Linked DNA regions of Elephas maximus indicus. The protein of the gene in region 1 binds, or shares a complex with, the protein of each later gene. Links are inferred from orthologs where the notes say so. Each region holds a gene or a part of one and is shown on either strand. Other genes may lie near its edges.

Evidence for each region. Proteins that work in one complex are often made in the same cells at the same time.
Region 2: the proteins of CSK (region 1) and PAG1 are in contact, whole or in part, in an NMR structure (PDB 2RSY), measured with the Rattus norvegicus proteins. The link is inferred for Elephas maximus indicus from reciprocal best matches to the Homo sapiens genes CSK and PAG1. Residues at the interface, in NP_001025210.1 of Rattus norvegicus: Thr88, Arg89, Glu93, Arg107, Ser109, Thr110, Asn111, Tyr112, Thr117, Cys122, Glu123, Lys125, Val126, Glu127, His128, Tyr129, Arg130, Ile140, Asp141, Tyr156, Asp161, Gly162; in NP_071589.1 of Rattus norvegicus: Phe291, Ser292, Leu294, Tyr296, Lys297, Ser298, Arg299, Glu300, Glu301, Leu305, Ile310, Met313, Tyr314, Ser315, Ser316, Val317, Asn318, Lys319.

What each region holds. Positions count from the first base shown.
Region 1 is NC_064831.1:64,865,745-64,873,732, reverse strand, and holds the start of CSK (tyrosine-protein kinase CSK), read right to left. Parts: upstream 3,008-7,988; 5' UTR 2,831-3,007; intron 580-2,830; exon of another isoform or gene 1-579. UniProt on the Homo sapiens protein: Non-receptor tyrosine-protein kinase that plays an important role in the regulation of cell growth, differentiation, migration and immune response.
Region 2 is NC_064833.1:60,390,364-60,397,375, forward strand, and holds the start of PAG1 (phosphoprotein associated with glycosphingolipid-enriched microdomains 1), read left to right. Parts: upstream 1-4,003; 5' UTR 4,004-4,186; intron 4,187-7,012. UniProt on the Homo sapiens protein: Negatively regulates TCR (T-cell antigen receptor)-mediated signaling in T-cells and FCER1 (high affinity immunoglobulin epsilon receptor)-mediated signaling in mast cells.

The sequences.
Region 1 (7,988 bases):
AGTACCTGGTTAATTAGCTCACTCTCCCTCTGAAGCAAATATCACCATCCCTCATACATATAAAAGAATTCCAGCTCAGAGGCCAGTGACTTGCCCAAGGTCTCTCCTCCCTGGACTAAATGGAATGCTGGGCCTGGACACCATGTCTACTTGCCCACTCTCTCCAATACCCCTGGCTGCTTTTGGGACCTGCAGTAACAACTACCTCAACAGCGACAGATGGAAACAACACACAAGCTCAGCAACAGGGTTTGGCTGAAGTTGCTGAGGCAGAACTATCTGGAATATTCTGTAGGTTTTTAGAGGGAAAGTCAGACGGGGGAACAACATGAGAATGTGTCTATGGGCACAGCATTAAATGAAAACTGGTGTTAGGGCACACACCAGAGGAAGGAATAGAGTCAGGAAGAGACTGGCAGGAAACTTCAAAATGCTAGCAGTCACCCCGTCAGGTGAAGAAAGAGGGAATGATTTTTGTTTTCTAAACTTTCTGTAGTGCTATTTTGTCACTTTCTCACTTCAGGATATTAGTCCATGAGTAGTTTTCTTGTAGTGAACCTGCTTCCCTGGGACCTGCCTGCCCTCCCGCTCTGGCCTTGGTGTTTTGGACCTCGACAAATGACGCCTGCCTCTTCTGCAGTGGGACAGCCTCTGGGACGCAGAACAGCCCCCAGACAAGAAAGGAGATGACCAGTGCTCGCTCCCTACCTCCTCTTTCCCAGGCCAAATACTCTGTTCTTCGGGAACTGGGTGTCAAGCCTTCAAAATCCCTCAAAAGATGGAACCCAGAACTGGATCCAGGCCGTCCTTCCAATCAGGACACGCTGACAGGTCAGGCCACCTGGCGACTTTTGGGGCAACCACGTCACTGTGGGATCTCAGGCCTCAGCCCCTGCCGGAGCTAGTTTGGAGAAAGCTAGAACTCTGCCCCTTCCCCAACACTTGCTGTGGGACACTGTGGTGGCTCAGCCTCTCTGGGCCCAGTGCCCTTTGCAGTGGTGCTGGAGGACATCTTTCTTGTCCTCAACCCAATGCAGAGACAACAGCAGCCACTTCAGAGCGGGCAGAAGGCACCAAGTTCACCTAGAAAAAACACTTCCCTGCACACATGCTAGCCTAAAGCTAGATTCCTTTCCACAAAGGCCTTGGGTCCCTGGGCCTCATCCTCACAGCCCAGAGTAGGTAAAAAAGCGCCCAACCACATCCAGCCCCAGCCCCAGCCCCTCAGGCTGGAAAAGGAAGTCGGGTAAGCGGAGCCTCACAGGCCCAGGACAGCTGGGGCCTCTCTACTGAGCACATCAGGGCAACAGGAAAAAACTCTAAACCAAGGGCAGGGGTCTTGAGCAGGACAAAACTGTCAGCAGTCCTAAGGAGGCCCAGACACAGCTCAGCATCTTCCAGGGGACAACCCACCTCCCTCTCGGAGCAAGAGGATCAGTCCACACTCCTAACCTCACTCTCGTTGCCTCTGCCTTGTGCCTGCTGCAGATACACCACGGCAGACACTGGAACCCCCAGGGTGTGGGGGGAGCTTGGAACAGACCCTGCAGGTGTCCCTACCCTGACAATGCTCCCATGCCAAGGGTGTAGGGCACTGCCAGTGGTCACAGGGCTCCCACATTCTCCATCCTGGTCCCATTCATATTCTGAACTTGAACAAGCTCCTGTGCCAGCTGGGCTGAGGAGGAAGGGGGAGAGGGAGAGCTGGGTCTGGACTAACCACTAGGCTGCTGCAGTTCAGGGCTAGGGGCTAGAATCCAGGCATTCTCGCCTTGCCACACAGGTGCCCACCTGCATCCCCTGCATCCCACCAGTGGGACCCAGCCTCAGACACCAAGGGGAAATCCCATGGGCAGTGCTGATGGTGCCTGAGCCCAGACCCAGGCAGAACTGGGGCCGGAAGCCCTCTCCCTTCTCTTGGGCCTCTGCCAGGGAGCACATGCTCACCCCACATGGTCCCTCCTGGGCCAGGGTGGGGACCTGCATCCCTGATGCATGAAGGCATCTGCCTGACTCCCCTCCAACCCCAGCAGCCCAGCTCCACAGAACAGTGGATGAGACGACAGCTGGCCTAACTCTTCAAGAGTCCTGGGGGAGCAACCTCCCCCTTTGAGCCTCAGTTCCCTGGTCTACAAAATGGGCGGGGAACTGAACCCCCAGTTAAGCTCCAAAGATCTGGTGGCTGGACACGCCCCTTCCTGACACCTGGCCTGGGCCCTGCAGAGAATGGGCTGACCAGGCTGTCAGGAGGTAGGGGCATGGTGTCACCTTCATCCAGGAGTGAGGCCTGCCCAGTTTCCCCACCCAAGGGTCAGAGGTCCCTTGGCTTAGACACAGTCATCTGGGAGGCTGAGAGAAACAGGTTCAGTCCCAGGACCTGGGCCTCTGGCAGGGCTCAGGGGAGCTAGCAGGGCCTCAGTGAGGGAAAGGTCAGACCCAGACAGGCCAAGACACTTGCAGGGAGGTCTGGGCAGGGAAGGGGCACTTCCAGAAATGCAGCCCATTCTCCAGGCCCTGGACCACGTCGGCCCTCTCCCTCCAGGCTCCAGCCACCCCTCACTCTTGAGCTTCACACAAGGGGACCTCAGGGTGCCCTGGGGCAAGTCTGCGGGGCTTGCTGAGCAGTGCCTCCTTCGAGTATTCCCCTCCTAATCCGGTTCTGACAGTGACTCCCGGGAGAGTTCGAACTCGGGAAGGAGGGAGTAAGGCAGTGGGGGATGGGAGTGGTCACGACGGCGGTGTAAAGAGAAGCAGGACGTGCGACCTCCCTCCTCCTCCTTCCTCTGGGGGACACAGACGCTGGCCTTCTCCTGGGCTGCAGGGCACTCACCTCTCTCGGGGCACTGAAGTCCGAGCCACCTCGCCGCGGGCGGCATCAGCGGCCTGCGGGACGGTCCATGCGGCCAGAGGGGAGGGAAGGGGCGCAGGGACCCCCGGGGGGTGCGATGCAAAGAAGTATAGGTGCGGAAAGAGGGGGAGGAGGGACGGCCACACCGAGGCAGGGGGATGGCCGCGCGGCCCGGGGCGGAGAGGGAAGAAAGGCGGGGGAAGGGGGGCGGGAGGGAGTCGGGGGGAGGAAACAATGTAGCCGGCGCGGCCCCAGCAGAGTTCCGCTTCCGAACGCCGCCGCCACGGCTCGGTTTTGGAACGTCGCGCCCGCTGCCGGGGGCCGTCCCGGACACTCGATCGGGGGCCGCGGGGGCTGCCCGCGCGCGCTCCACGCCCCGGAGCCTCAGGCGGCCACAGGCTGGCTAGGCGGGAGGGACGGCTGACCAGGGGACGGCCCCGACGGTGGCGCGGCCGGGAGATCGGCCCGCTCGGGCTCCACCCCAGCAGGACCCCAGGGCAGGGCGCGGGGTGGGGCGGGAGCGGGAGGGCGGCGACGGTCTCGGTGGCGGCGCCCAAGCTCGGCTCGCCCAGGGCTCCGCTGGGAGGAAGCTCGCAGGCCTGGCGAGAGGAAGCGCGGCCCGGATCCTCCGCCCGCGGCAGCGCGCCTGCGCGAGGGGGCCTGCCCGGTGCGCGGCGGGGCGTGGGCTGGCGAGGCGGCGCCCCCTATCGGGCGCCGGGGGCACTGCGGGGGGTGTGTCTGCGCCCACGCCCTGCCCCCACCTGCCTGTCTGCGTTGGAGGCGCCTAAAGGCCCCTCCCAGAGGGCCGACCACCCGGCCTTGGAACAAGTTCTGAACCTTCTCCGGGCCTAGCTCCACCAGCGTAGAAGCGGTGGAGGCTGGGCCTGGATCCTTCTGGAGTCAGCCCGCGCAGAGTGGGCCTCATTCGCAGCAGCAAGCATTCGTTCACACGTTCACGAACGCTTCCTGGCGCCAACAACCTGCCAGGCCATTTTCAGGGGTCTAGTAAGACCCCTTCACTGCTGTCAAGGATGGAGAGACTGACAGGCCAAAAGACAATAGCAAAGAACTAATTGATAAAAGTGGGGAGGTGATGTACAAGGTCCACAGGAAGCAGACAAGAAGGGAGGGCTAATGGGGGACTTCACTGAGCCTAGGACGCCAGGCAGAGAGAACGGTGTGGACAAAGGCAGGGAGAGGTGGGAGAGTGGTGGCTTCTGGGAAATATAAATAGCTCCGTATGGCTGCAGCTTGCAGTGTGGGTTAAAGGCGGTAGTGGGAGACTAGGTCTTGGGGCAGCAGGGGCAAGAGAGATTACAGAGAGTCTTGTGGGACTTTCTGAGACTTTATTTTCAGCCTGGAGCAATGAGGAAGTTGTTAGTAGCTGTGTGACCTTAGGCAAGCTGCTTAAAGTCTCTGTGATTTCAGTTTCCCCGTTTCATCAAATGGGGAAAATAATAGCAGCAACTTCTTAGGGCTTTCTGGGGGAGGAAATGAGTTAATGCGTTTCAAGTGCTTAGTGTGCAGTTGCTGGAACATGGTGAGCCTTCAGTTAAGTGTTGGCTGTTATTATATATCACTGTTAATGAGAAGCAGGCAGGTGATCTGCTCAGAGCCACAGACCAGACAGCTTGTGCTGGGGTGAGAGGTGGTGGGGGGAGCGCAGCGATGGGGACACCAGAGATGCTAGTGTAGGTAGGAGGAGTCAGGGCACCCCTAGGGACTGGGCCATAAAGAAAGGGTCAGGCTTGGGTTGGCAGAGAAGAGGGGGCATTCCTGGGAGTAGGGGGAAGCGGTGAAGCTTGCTGGCAAATTCTTGGAATCTGAAATAAGTATGAAGGGGCAGAAAGAGTGTGAGGGACAGTAAAAGGTCCTTTGGGACAGAGAAATGGGGAGAACAGTATCTGCAGATTGCAAAGAGTCTTGAATGCCTGGAGTAGGAACGGTGTGTGCCCCTCAGATACACTACGGGTTGTCCCTCTGACCCACTGCATCCTGGGGCCAGCATCTCAGCAAGGGGCCGCCTCTATGGGGAGGAAAGCAGTAGAAACACCTTTGTGCTTTGAGGAGACATCCAGTTAGTCTGGCATAGTTGTGGTATAATGGAAAAAAGTATGAGTTTTGGGTTCAAATCTCAGGATTAAATCTTGGCTCAGCCACCTACTAGCCGTGTGACCTTGGACTAGTTACCTAAGGTCTCTGAGCTCAGTTTCCTCTTCTGTCAGACCAGGCTTAAAGTGTACCTCTCTCACATACCTCTCTTTGGAGAGATGGTGCAGATTCAGCAAGATAAAGGCCTGGGGATGGGAGGGTGGGGAGAGAGCTTAGCAGGTTGGTTTCCCTTTCTTTCCTTTGAGGTTGAGGTCTAGACGGAATGACAATGGGGGGCTGGTTGGGGTGGGTGGAGTTTCTCTCAGCCATGGACAGGAAAGCTCTTCCGCAGCTCTGCAAAAGTTTCTAGAAGGGAGAATTGAGATCTCCTTCCCCTCCTCTGGTTTAGCTACCAGGATGGGAAAGAAAGGACTGTTGGGATTTGTGGAAAATGCCCTGTTCCACACGGGCTTTGTCACTCACCCATCTCCATCCCCTGGCCCCAAACACACTTGACTCTTTTCCTTGCATGTGCTGTGGCCAAGAGTGTGGACTTTGGAGTCAAATAGACCTGCATTTGAATCCTGGCTCCAACTCTCCACAGCAGTGTGAACTAAAAATTTTAACCTCTCTGAACTCCAGGCATGGGGATAAAACCAGGAGCAAATCAGTCATGGCCTCGTCCCGCAGAGCTCCCTTTCTTTTAGTGGGAGAGTCAGACAATTAGCCTCCAACCTCGTTTCTCATCATTTATTCATTCAACAAAAATTTACTGAGCACCTACTAAGTGCTGGAACCCTGGTGGTACAGTGGTTAAGAGCTCAGCTGCTAACCAAAAGGTCGGCAGTTCGAATCCACCAACTGCTCCTTAGAAACCGTATTGGGCAGTTCTCCTGTGTCCTATAGGGTCACTCTGAGTCAGATTCAACTCTGGAGCAACAGGTTTACCAAGTGCTAGGCACTGTCCCAGATGCTGGAGATGGAGTGAACAAGACTTCCATGGTTCCTACCCTAGGGAATAAATAAATAAACAGGGTCATTTGGCCCTGTAGTATGAAGGAAGTGAGCATGTGAGGGACTATGGAGAGGTGAGGCTTTGAGCTCTGCTTTCAGACCAGGAAAGGATTGAGCCAGCCTTTTTTTTTGGGGGTGAGTGAAGGAGGGCGCTTCAGGCATAGGCAACCCAAACCCATTGTCATCGAGTTGATTCCAACTCATAGTGACCCTATGGGGTAGAGTAGAACTGTCCCATAAGGTTTCCTAGGCTGTGATCCTTATGGAAGCAAACTGCCACATCTTTCTCCCTTGGAGTGGCTAGTGGGTTAGATCTGCTGACCTTTCGGTTGGCAGCTGAGCAGACACTTAACCACTGTGCCACCGGGGCTCCTGGCAAAGGTTAAAGACCTGAGCTAGGAAAGGGCCCTGGGGCTTGAAGGACAGCCAGAGGGTGGCCTCAGATAGCAGGGGAGGATGGAAGAGAGGAAGTAAGGAAGCCGACAGGGGCCAGATCCAGAGCCTGCACTCCAGAGATTTTTTTAGGTGAGTTTGGGTTTGATTACGTGAGCAGTGCAGGAAGCTGTTGAAGGACTTTAAGCAGGGGGGTGACATAATCGGAAGCATTTTTTTTTAATTTGCATTATTTCTTAGAGATTAGATCAAATTAAAACAAAATTATTTTATTATTTTTCTTGTTGAAAATAAAAAAAATTTTTTTTTTTTTGAAAATACACACGGTAAAAATATACCAATTCTACTTACCAGGAAGAAAAAATGAAGTCTTGATATATGCTGCAATATGGATGGAGCTGGAAGACATTATGCTGAGTGAAATAAGTCAATCACAAATGACAAATATTCTATGGCCTCACTTACACAAAAAGACAAGAAAACGCAAATGTATAGAGAACAAAGTTTATTAGTGGTTACCATGGGCAGAAGGGAGGTGAAATGGGGGTCAATAGTGATGAAAAAATCACGTTGATTAAGGGTAGGGGTGCAGAGCTGACTATTATAATTGTTGTCATTAAGTTGTACACCTACAAAAAGCTGAATTGGCAAAATTTGTGTGATAGATTTATTTACAACGATGACCCAAAAATAAATAAATAAATACATAAATAAGAGTAGCTGCTGAGGCTGCTTAAGTACAACCAAAAACCTCATGGGATTTGGTTCCTTGGTTTGAAGGTTTAGTGTCACGGTTTCATGGGATATCCCAGTTAATTGGCCTAATGTGTTTAGTGCTTCTGTTCTACCTCCTAGTTTGTTGCATGGTGCCATAGGGTCTTAAAAGCTTGCAGATGGCCATCCAAGGCACAACAATTGGTTTCTATTCACCTGGAACAGCAGAGGAAAAAGGGAGTCAGGAATAGAAGGAGGATATGGAATGTGTGGCTATTTGCCTCCATGAACAACTGCCTCCTTTGCCATGAGACCAGAAGAACTAGATGGTGCCCAGCTACCATTAGTGCACATTTTGATCAAAGATTCCACAGAAGAATCCTGATCAAAAGGGGGAAAATACAGAACAGAATTTCAAAGTCTCATGGACTCCAGACTTCCTGGAGCCATGAAGGTTGGATGAACCCCTGAAACTATTGCCCTGAGATAATCTTCAAACTTTATACCGAAAATATCCCCTGAAGTCTTCTTAAAGCCAAAAAATAACCCAAACCAAACCTGCTGTTGTCAAGTCGATTCCGACTCATAACGACCCTATAGGACAGAATAGAACTGCCCCATAGAGTACCCAAGGCTGAAATCTTTACGGATTTCTCCTATAGAGTAGCTGGTGAGTTTGAACTGCTGACCTTTCGTTTAGCAGGTGAGCGCTTTAACCACTATGCCTCCAGGGCTCCTAAAAACAGTAGTTTAGCTTAACTAGTAAAGAATGTCTGCCTTGGCATTATGCTCTTTTAAGAACTATCTATATGGGATCAAACTGACAAGAGTAACTAAAAGATCAGATAGGAACCTTAGGGGCAGTGAGTTCATGTTAATGAGGGAGGAACAACTAAGAAAAGGAGTGAGAGAATTGTTGTACAACTCG
Region 2 (7,012 bases), on another chromosome or scaffold:
ATGAAAGAGATAGCATAATCTTGTCCTTTCATATTATGAAGTAAATAAGGAAAGTTGTCCATTTGATCAATAGTAGTCCCTTTGAAATAATTCTCCACTAAGTCCAGAACCTTGAAATTATTTGGGAAAGAACAATCTCCACTAGTAACTTTTAGAAACGCTATGGCAAGTTGAGGGTTACCTTTGGCACACCAAGAAGGAATTCATACTTCTTAGCATAGTGTACAACCCAAAAAAAATGTACAAGGCCCTTCAAAATCTAAGCCATAAGGAGGTAGCTTTAGTTATCTCGTAATACCTATCTCTCTCTCTTTGTCCTGGCTATAAGAGACTTAATTAATTCCCAGCAATGACCATAGTTGGACTAAGCCAATTATGACATTCTGTGAAGTCCCTAGTTGGTACAAACAGTCATGTGCTCAGCTACTAACCAAAAGGTTAGGAGTTTGAACCCATCCAGAGATGCCTTGGAAGAAAGACCTGGCAATCTGCTTCTTTAGAGGTTACAGCCAAGAAAACCTTATGGAGTATAGTTTTACTCTGTAACACATGAGGTCACCATGAATTGGAATTGACTTGATGGCAAGTGTTTTTTTTGGTTCTCCACACTTTAAGCTTCCCTCTCACCTAGTGGTGGCCAGTAAGAGACTAACAGAAATCTGCGGTAGAGGCTTCTGAAAACGCTTTTCCTTTCCTGATGCAGTTGTGGTGGCACCACCTCTTCCTTCTTCCTCTTGGTTTGAGTGTAGATGTGATACCAGAAACTGAGGCAGCCATCTTGTCACCCATGAGAGAAAAAAAAAAATGAGAGAAAGTCCAAGAAAATTACAGAGATACTAACCCTGAAACAGTTTACCCACTGAGCCAGCTCCCTCAGCCTCTTACTTTTAGAATTCTAATTTAAAAAAATTAACTCTTACTTGTCCAAGCCACTGCTTTTCCCTTCTCTCTCACTTGCAGGAGAAATCACTCTTAATTGAACCAGACGTAGATCACATGCTTTCCCAGCCTTGTTCCCTGTATCCTATTTCTCCAGCCACAAAAATCTACTGGCCATCCTGCAACCCCCCTGGGCTCTTCAATGATGAATACAACCCAGTCACCCTTTTCCCCTAAAATCCTATTTAAGAAGACTTAAATGAGAAATATTCCCCATCTCCAGACAGAGCTAATATCTTCTCCCTTGTGCTTCCTTAACATTTTGCGCCAGCCTACTGTTGGCTGAGAAGTCCCTGGTTGGTGCAACGGGTTAATGCATTCAGCTGCTAACTGCAAGGTTGGAGGTTTGAGTCCACCCAGAGGTGCCTAGGAAGAAAGGCCTGGCAATCTACTTCCCAAAAATCAGCCACTGAAAACCCTACGGAACATACTTCTACTCTGACACACACGGGTCAGTGTTGACTCAACTGGAACTAGCTTTGTGGACTGACTGGGCTCAGGGATCCTTGAGTTCCTACTCTTTGAATCACCTCAACATCATCACAGTATTCCCAGTACCTCGCACAGCACCAGCAGTACAGTATTGACAAATGTGTTATCTTTGTTAAATCTTACTTTTTCTAGAAAAAGAGATAACACTTGGCCTTAGCTTTTTCACTGAGAGGGTTTCCTTTTGTTCTAAGTGAAACCATGCTCTCCCCACACTCCCGCCCCCGCACTCCTGGATTAAGTGAAAGAAACACACTGCAACAGTGTTTTTGAAGGACAATTTAGTAATAACACATAAAATGTTAATGGGTCTAATTTTTGACCCAGCAATTCCAATTCTAGGTTGTTATCCCTGAGATATATCACACAAGCTGGCAGAGATGTCTACACCTAGATGCGGATTCCAGCCTTGTTTATAGTAGCAAAACTTGAAAGCGGGCTATGTGTCCATTAATAAGGGACAGGTTAAATAATTTATGGCACATCTATTTAATAGAATAGTGTGCCACAGTTAAAAAGAACCAGATAAATCTATATGTGGTGACATGGGAGAATTGCCAAGATACATCACTGAGGAAAATAAACCATTATATTGTTAGCCCTTTTCTGAAAAAGTTATTTACATATATTGAAAAAATCCAGATGAATAAACTCTAAGTTATAAACAGTGGTTAGTTCTGAGGTGGAAAATTTTATTCTCTTGGATTTAGACATCTGTAATGTATGGATGGATTCTTATAATCCATACATGCATAATATGTATAATTATAAACAAACTAATAAACAGATTTGCGGTGGTTTCCAATAATGGTAGGAGGCCAGTGGCTTCTGCAGGGGTACTGCCTTCTTGCAGAAATGAAGGGATGCATAGATAGAAAGAAATACAGGTTGAAAGTAGACGTGGTGCAGTAAAATCAAAAGATCAGAGAAGAAGAATAAATGATGAGAACCACCCCAAAATGGAAATGTTGAACTGTGAGATAAAGAGCTCCCCATTCATCCAGCTGTGTAAGACAGAGCCATGGAGTCTTCCTTTACACCTTTCTCTCCCTCATTCGCCAAGATTCCTCTAATGCATTCAGTTTTTTCCATTTCAACCAACACCATTCTAGTCCAGGTAACCAAGCTGTCCTGCTTGTACTATTAGAATAACTTTCTAACTGGTATCCCTATGTCAACTGTGGCAGTCAGAATAATGGCCCCCATAACCTTTCCCCCTGGTGTCACACCCATGAATAAACTATATTACATGGCAAAAGGGACCTTTCAGATGTAACTAAGGTTACTAATGTTTGATGTTAAAATAGGGAGAGGAGCCTGGGTTATCCAGGTGAGCCCAATGTAACCACATGAACTCACAGAAGCAGAACTTTCTCCCCATGGAAGAAAAGGAAGTAAGAGAAATATGCCAGAAGGGGAAGTCGAAGAGATTTGAAGCGTGGGAAAGATCTGACCTGCCTTCACAGGCTTGAAAGTGGAAGGGGCTGCATGGACAGCAGGAGAAGGAAATGATTTCTGCCAACAACCAATGGGTTGGTAGAGGAGCAGAGCACTGAATGAGAACTGCAGCCCCAGCTGGTTTCTTGATTTCTATCTTGTGACAGCCTGAGCAGAAAACCCAGTTGAGCCATACTGTACCCAGACTTCTGATCCACAGAAACTACACTGTTTTAAGCCGCTAAGTTTGGGGTAGTTTAGTACAGCAGCAACAGAAAATTAATACATCAAACTCTGCCCATCTCTGGTCTATTTTACCAACCATGACAAGAGTGATATATTTGTTTCCAAAATACAAATCTGGTCACGACACGCCTGTTTACAATTCTCTGTAGCTTCCTGATGTTCTTTGGAAACACTCCAAACTCCTTAACAAAGCCTTCAAGGCCTTACCTGGTCTTCAGCATCCACCAACCTCTCTAACTTCATCTTCCTCTATAACCCCTCATCCTGTGACTCAGCTACTCTGGCCGTCTTTCATTTACTCATACTGCCCTGCTTCATCTTGCCTCAGGACCTGTCATGGATTGAATTGTGTTTCCCAAAAATGTGTGTCAACTTGGCTAGGCCATGATTCCCAGTATTGTGTGGCTGTCCACTATTTTGTGATTTGATGTGATTTTCCTCTGTGTTATAAATCCTACCTCCAGGATGTTAATGAGGCTTGATTAGAGACAGGTATGTTAATGAGGCAGGACTCAATCTACAAGATTAGGTTGTGTTTTAAGTCAATCTCTTTAGAGATATAAAAGAGAGAAGTGAGCAGAAAGACATGGGGACTTCAGACCACCAAGAAAGCAGTGCCAGGAGCAGAGCATGTCCTTTGGAGCTGGGGTCCCTGTACCTGAGAAGCTCCTAGAGCAGGGGAAGATTGATGACAAGGACCTTTCTCTAGAGCCAACACACAGAGAAAGCCTTCCTCTGGAGCTGGTACCCTGAATTCAGACTTCTAGCCTCCTAGACTGTGAAAGAATTAATTTATTTTTGCTAAAGCCATCCATTGGTGCTATTTCTGTTATACCAGCCCTAGATGACTAAGACAAAATTTGGTACCGAGAGTCGGGGTCAAGAGGACAAGGAACCAGGAAGCAGAAGCTGAAGAGACAAGAAACACAGGAAGCAAAGCTGCCTCAGTCTCAAAGGGTGGAGTTGCCACTCAGAAGACTAGGAGAATGGGGCCACCCAAATGCGAGGGAAGGGTGTTGCCATTCAGCGGACCTGGAAGGTAGAGCTGAAGGCCAGGGCCTCCACCCAGAATCAGGTGAGTGTGGCCAACACCCAAAGTCTGGAGGGCAGGGCTATTGCCTAAATTGTCTCAGAGAACAGGATTATTTTCAAGCCTTGAGAGCTAATGTAATGTGTTCTGCTGATTTGCTTGGTGCTATTGTCCCTTCTTTCCCTTTAATTTCTCCCATTTGTAATGGAAATGTCTCTTCTTTCCTTCTAATTTCTCCCATTTGTAATGGAAATGTCTACCTTGTACCTGTCCCACCGTTGTACTTTGGAAGCAGATAATTTGTATTCTAGATTTCACAGATGAAGAGGAATTTTGCAGAAGATTTTGGGCTTGGAGTTGATTTAAGACTTTTGCTATGGTATGATGGAGTGAATGTGTTTTACATATGACAAAGATATAAATTATTGGGGGCCAAAAGGTGGAATGTCATGGATTGAATTGTGTCCTCCAAAAATGTGTGTCACCTTGGCTAGGCCACGATTCCCAGTATTGTGTGGTTGTCTACCATTTTGTGATCTGATGTGATTTTCCTGTGTGTTGTAAATCCTACCTCTATGCTGTTAACGAGGCAGTTATGTTAATGAAGCAGGACTCTACAAGATACAGTATGTCTTAAGTCAATCTCTTTTGAGATGTAAAAGAGAGAAGCAAGCCTAGAGATATGGGGCCTTCATACCACCAAGAAACAGTATCAGGAGCAGAGCATGTCCTTTGGACCCAGGGTCCTCGTGCCTGAGAAACTCCTAGACCAGGAGAAGATTGTTGACAAGGACCTTCCTCCAGAGCCGACAGAAAGAGAGTCTTCCCCTGGAGCTGACACCCTGAATTCAGACTTCTAGCCTCCTAGACTATGAGAATAAATTTCTGTTTGTTGACTAAAGGGGTGTACCAGCCCTGGGGCGGGAACTGGAAAGTAGGAGGAAACAGGAAAGCTGGTAATAGGGAAGCCAGGGTAGAGAAGGGAGAGTGCTGACATGCCGTGGGGTTGTTAACCAATGCCATACAACAATGTGTGTACTAACAGTTTGATTAGAAACTAGTTTGTTCTGTAAACTTTCATCTAAAGTTCAATTAAAAAAATATATTAAGAAAATTTTAAGCCATTCACTGGCTGTATTTCTTTTATACCAGTCCTAGATGACTAAGACAGAACCTTTACACAAGTTGCTCGCCTTCATGGAATATTCTTCTTTCCCCTCCTCACCTTCTTCCCACTACAGCTCGTCTTTCAGATTAAAATTCATGTGTCTTACTCTTTGAGAAGTCTTCCCTCACTTCTCTGACAATATCAAACATGGAAATCATCAGCTTCTGTGGCATTATGTACCTCTCTTTCCAACCAGTTGTTATGGTTTGTGTGATTACATGAAAACTATCTGTCTCCTACTCTATGCTATACTTTCCTCAAGGACAGGGGCTATGTATGTTTTTCCTCACTATTATATCAACATCTTTTAGTAATGACTGAAATATAGTCAGTTTTCATTGGCTAGATTTAGTGGCTGAATAATTGAATCAATCAGCCACTGCACGTAGTCTAGGAAAAAGTGGATGAGAAAATGCCAACCACTAGTGAAAGGCTGGTGCAAGTGACCACACATTACCCTACCAATCCTAAGACTGCCCAATGCTAAGTTTTCTGTGCCTGTTCAAAATTTAATAATTCTTTTAATTTTACAGTACCCAGGAAACTTTGATTTTTCTAATGAAAATAGCTGTCAGAACATCACTTTACTACCAATATATGCCTCGTTTCTCAAATCAAATAAATCTTTGATTAGTAGAGACCAAGCAGAAGTCACGGTAGTATGTGCCCGTCATGGATTGAATTGTGTCCCCCCAAAACATGTGTCAACTCGGTTAGGCCATGATTCCTAGTATTGTGTGGTTGTCCTCCATTTTGTGATTGTAATTTTATACTAAAGGGGATTAGGGTGGCATTGTAATACCACCTTTACTCAGGTCATCTCCCTGATCCAATGTAAAGGGAATTTCCCTGGGGCTTGGCCTGCACCACCTTTTATTTCTCAAGAGACAAAAAGGAAAGGGAAACAAGCAGAGACTTGGGGACCTCATACCAACAAGAAAGCAGTGCAGGGAGCAGAGTGCATCCATTGGACCTGAGGTTCCTACACTGAGATGCTCCCAGACCAAGAGAAGACTGATGACAAGGACCTTCCTCCGGAGCCAAAAGAGAAAGAAAGCCTTCCCCTGGAGCTGACGACCTGAATTTGGACTTGTAGCCTAGTACCCAATAAGAATAATTTTCTCTTTGTTAAAGCCATCCACTTAACTAATACAGTGCCCAAGGAATATTAACATAGCCAATTAATCTATTGGACTTTATACTTTATAAATATATATTTGTATATATTATCTCTTTTGATCCTCACAGTAACTTTGTAAAGTACTTTTACTAACCAAAGGTTGGCAGTTCAAATCCAACAGGCGCTCCTTGGAAACCCTATGGGGCAGTTCTATTCTGACCTTTACAGTTGCTATGAGTCAAAATCGACTTGATGGCAATGGGTTATGGTTTATGGGTTTATTTATATATTTTTGTAAGTTTTTTCAGCCCAGCACAGGTTAAATCAAAGATTCACTGCTCAGAGGGTAACAGATTTGGTCAAATTCAAAACACTTCAAAGTGACAGAACTCCACTTCAGGCCTTCTTACTCCAAGTCCAGAGTGTTTTAGCTGTGTAGGTTTTCCGGGTAGGAACTAAAGCCTCAGACTTCTCTGTGTGCTTTATTTCATTTTCTCTCTACTGCATGATGTCTAGCCCCAGTGCCTTGGCAATTGTCTGGGTAACTGTCAACCACACCTAGTATAATTTCTATTTATGAACG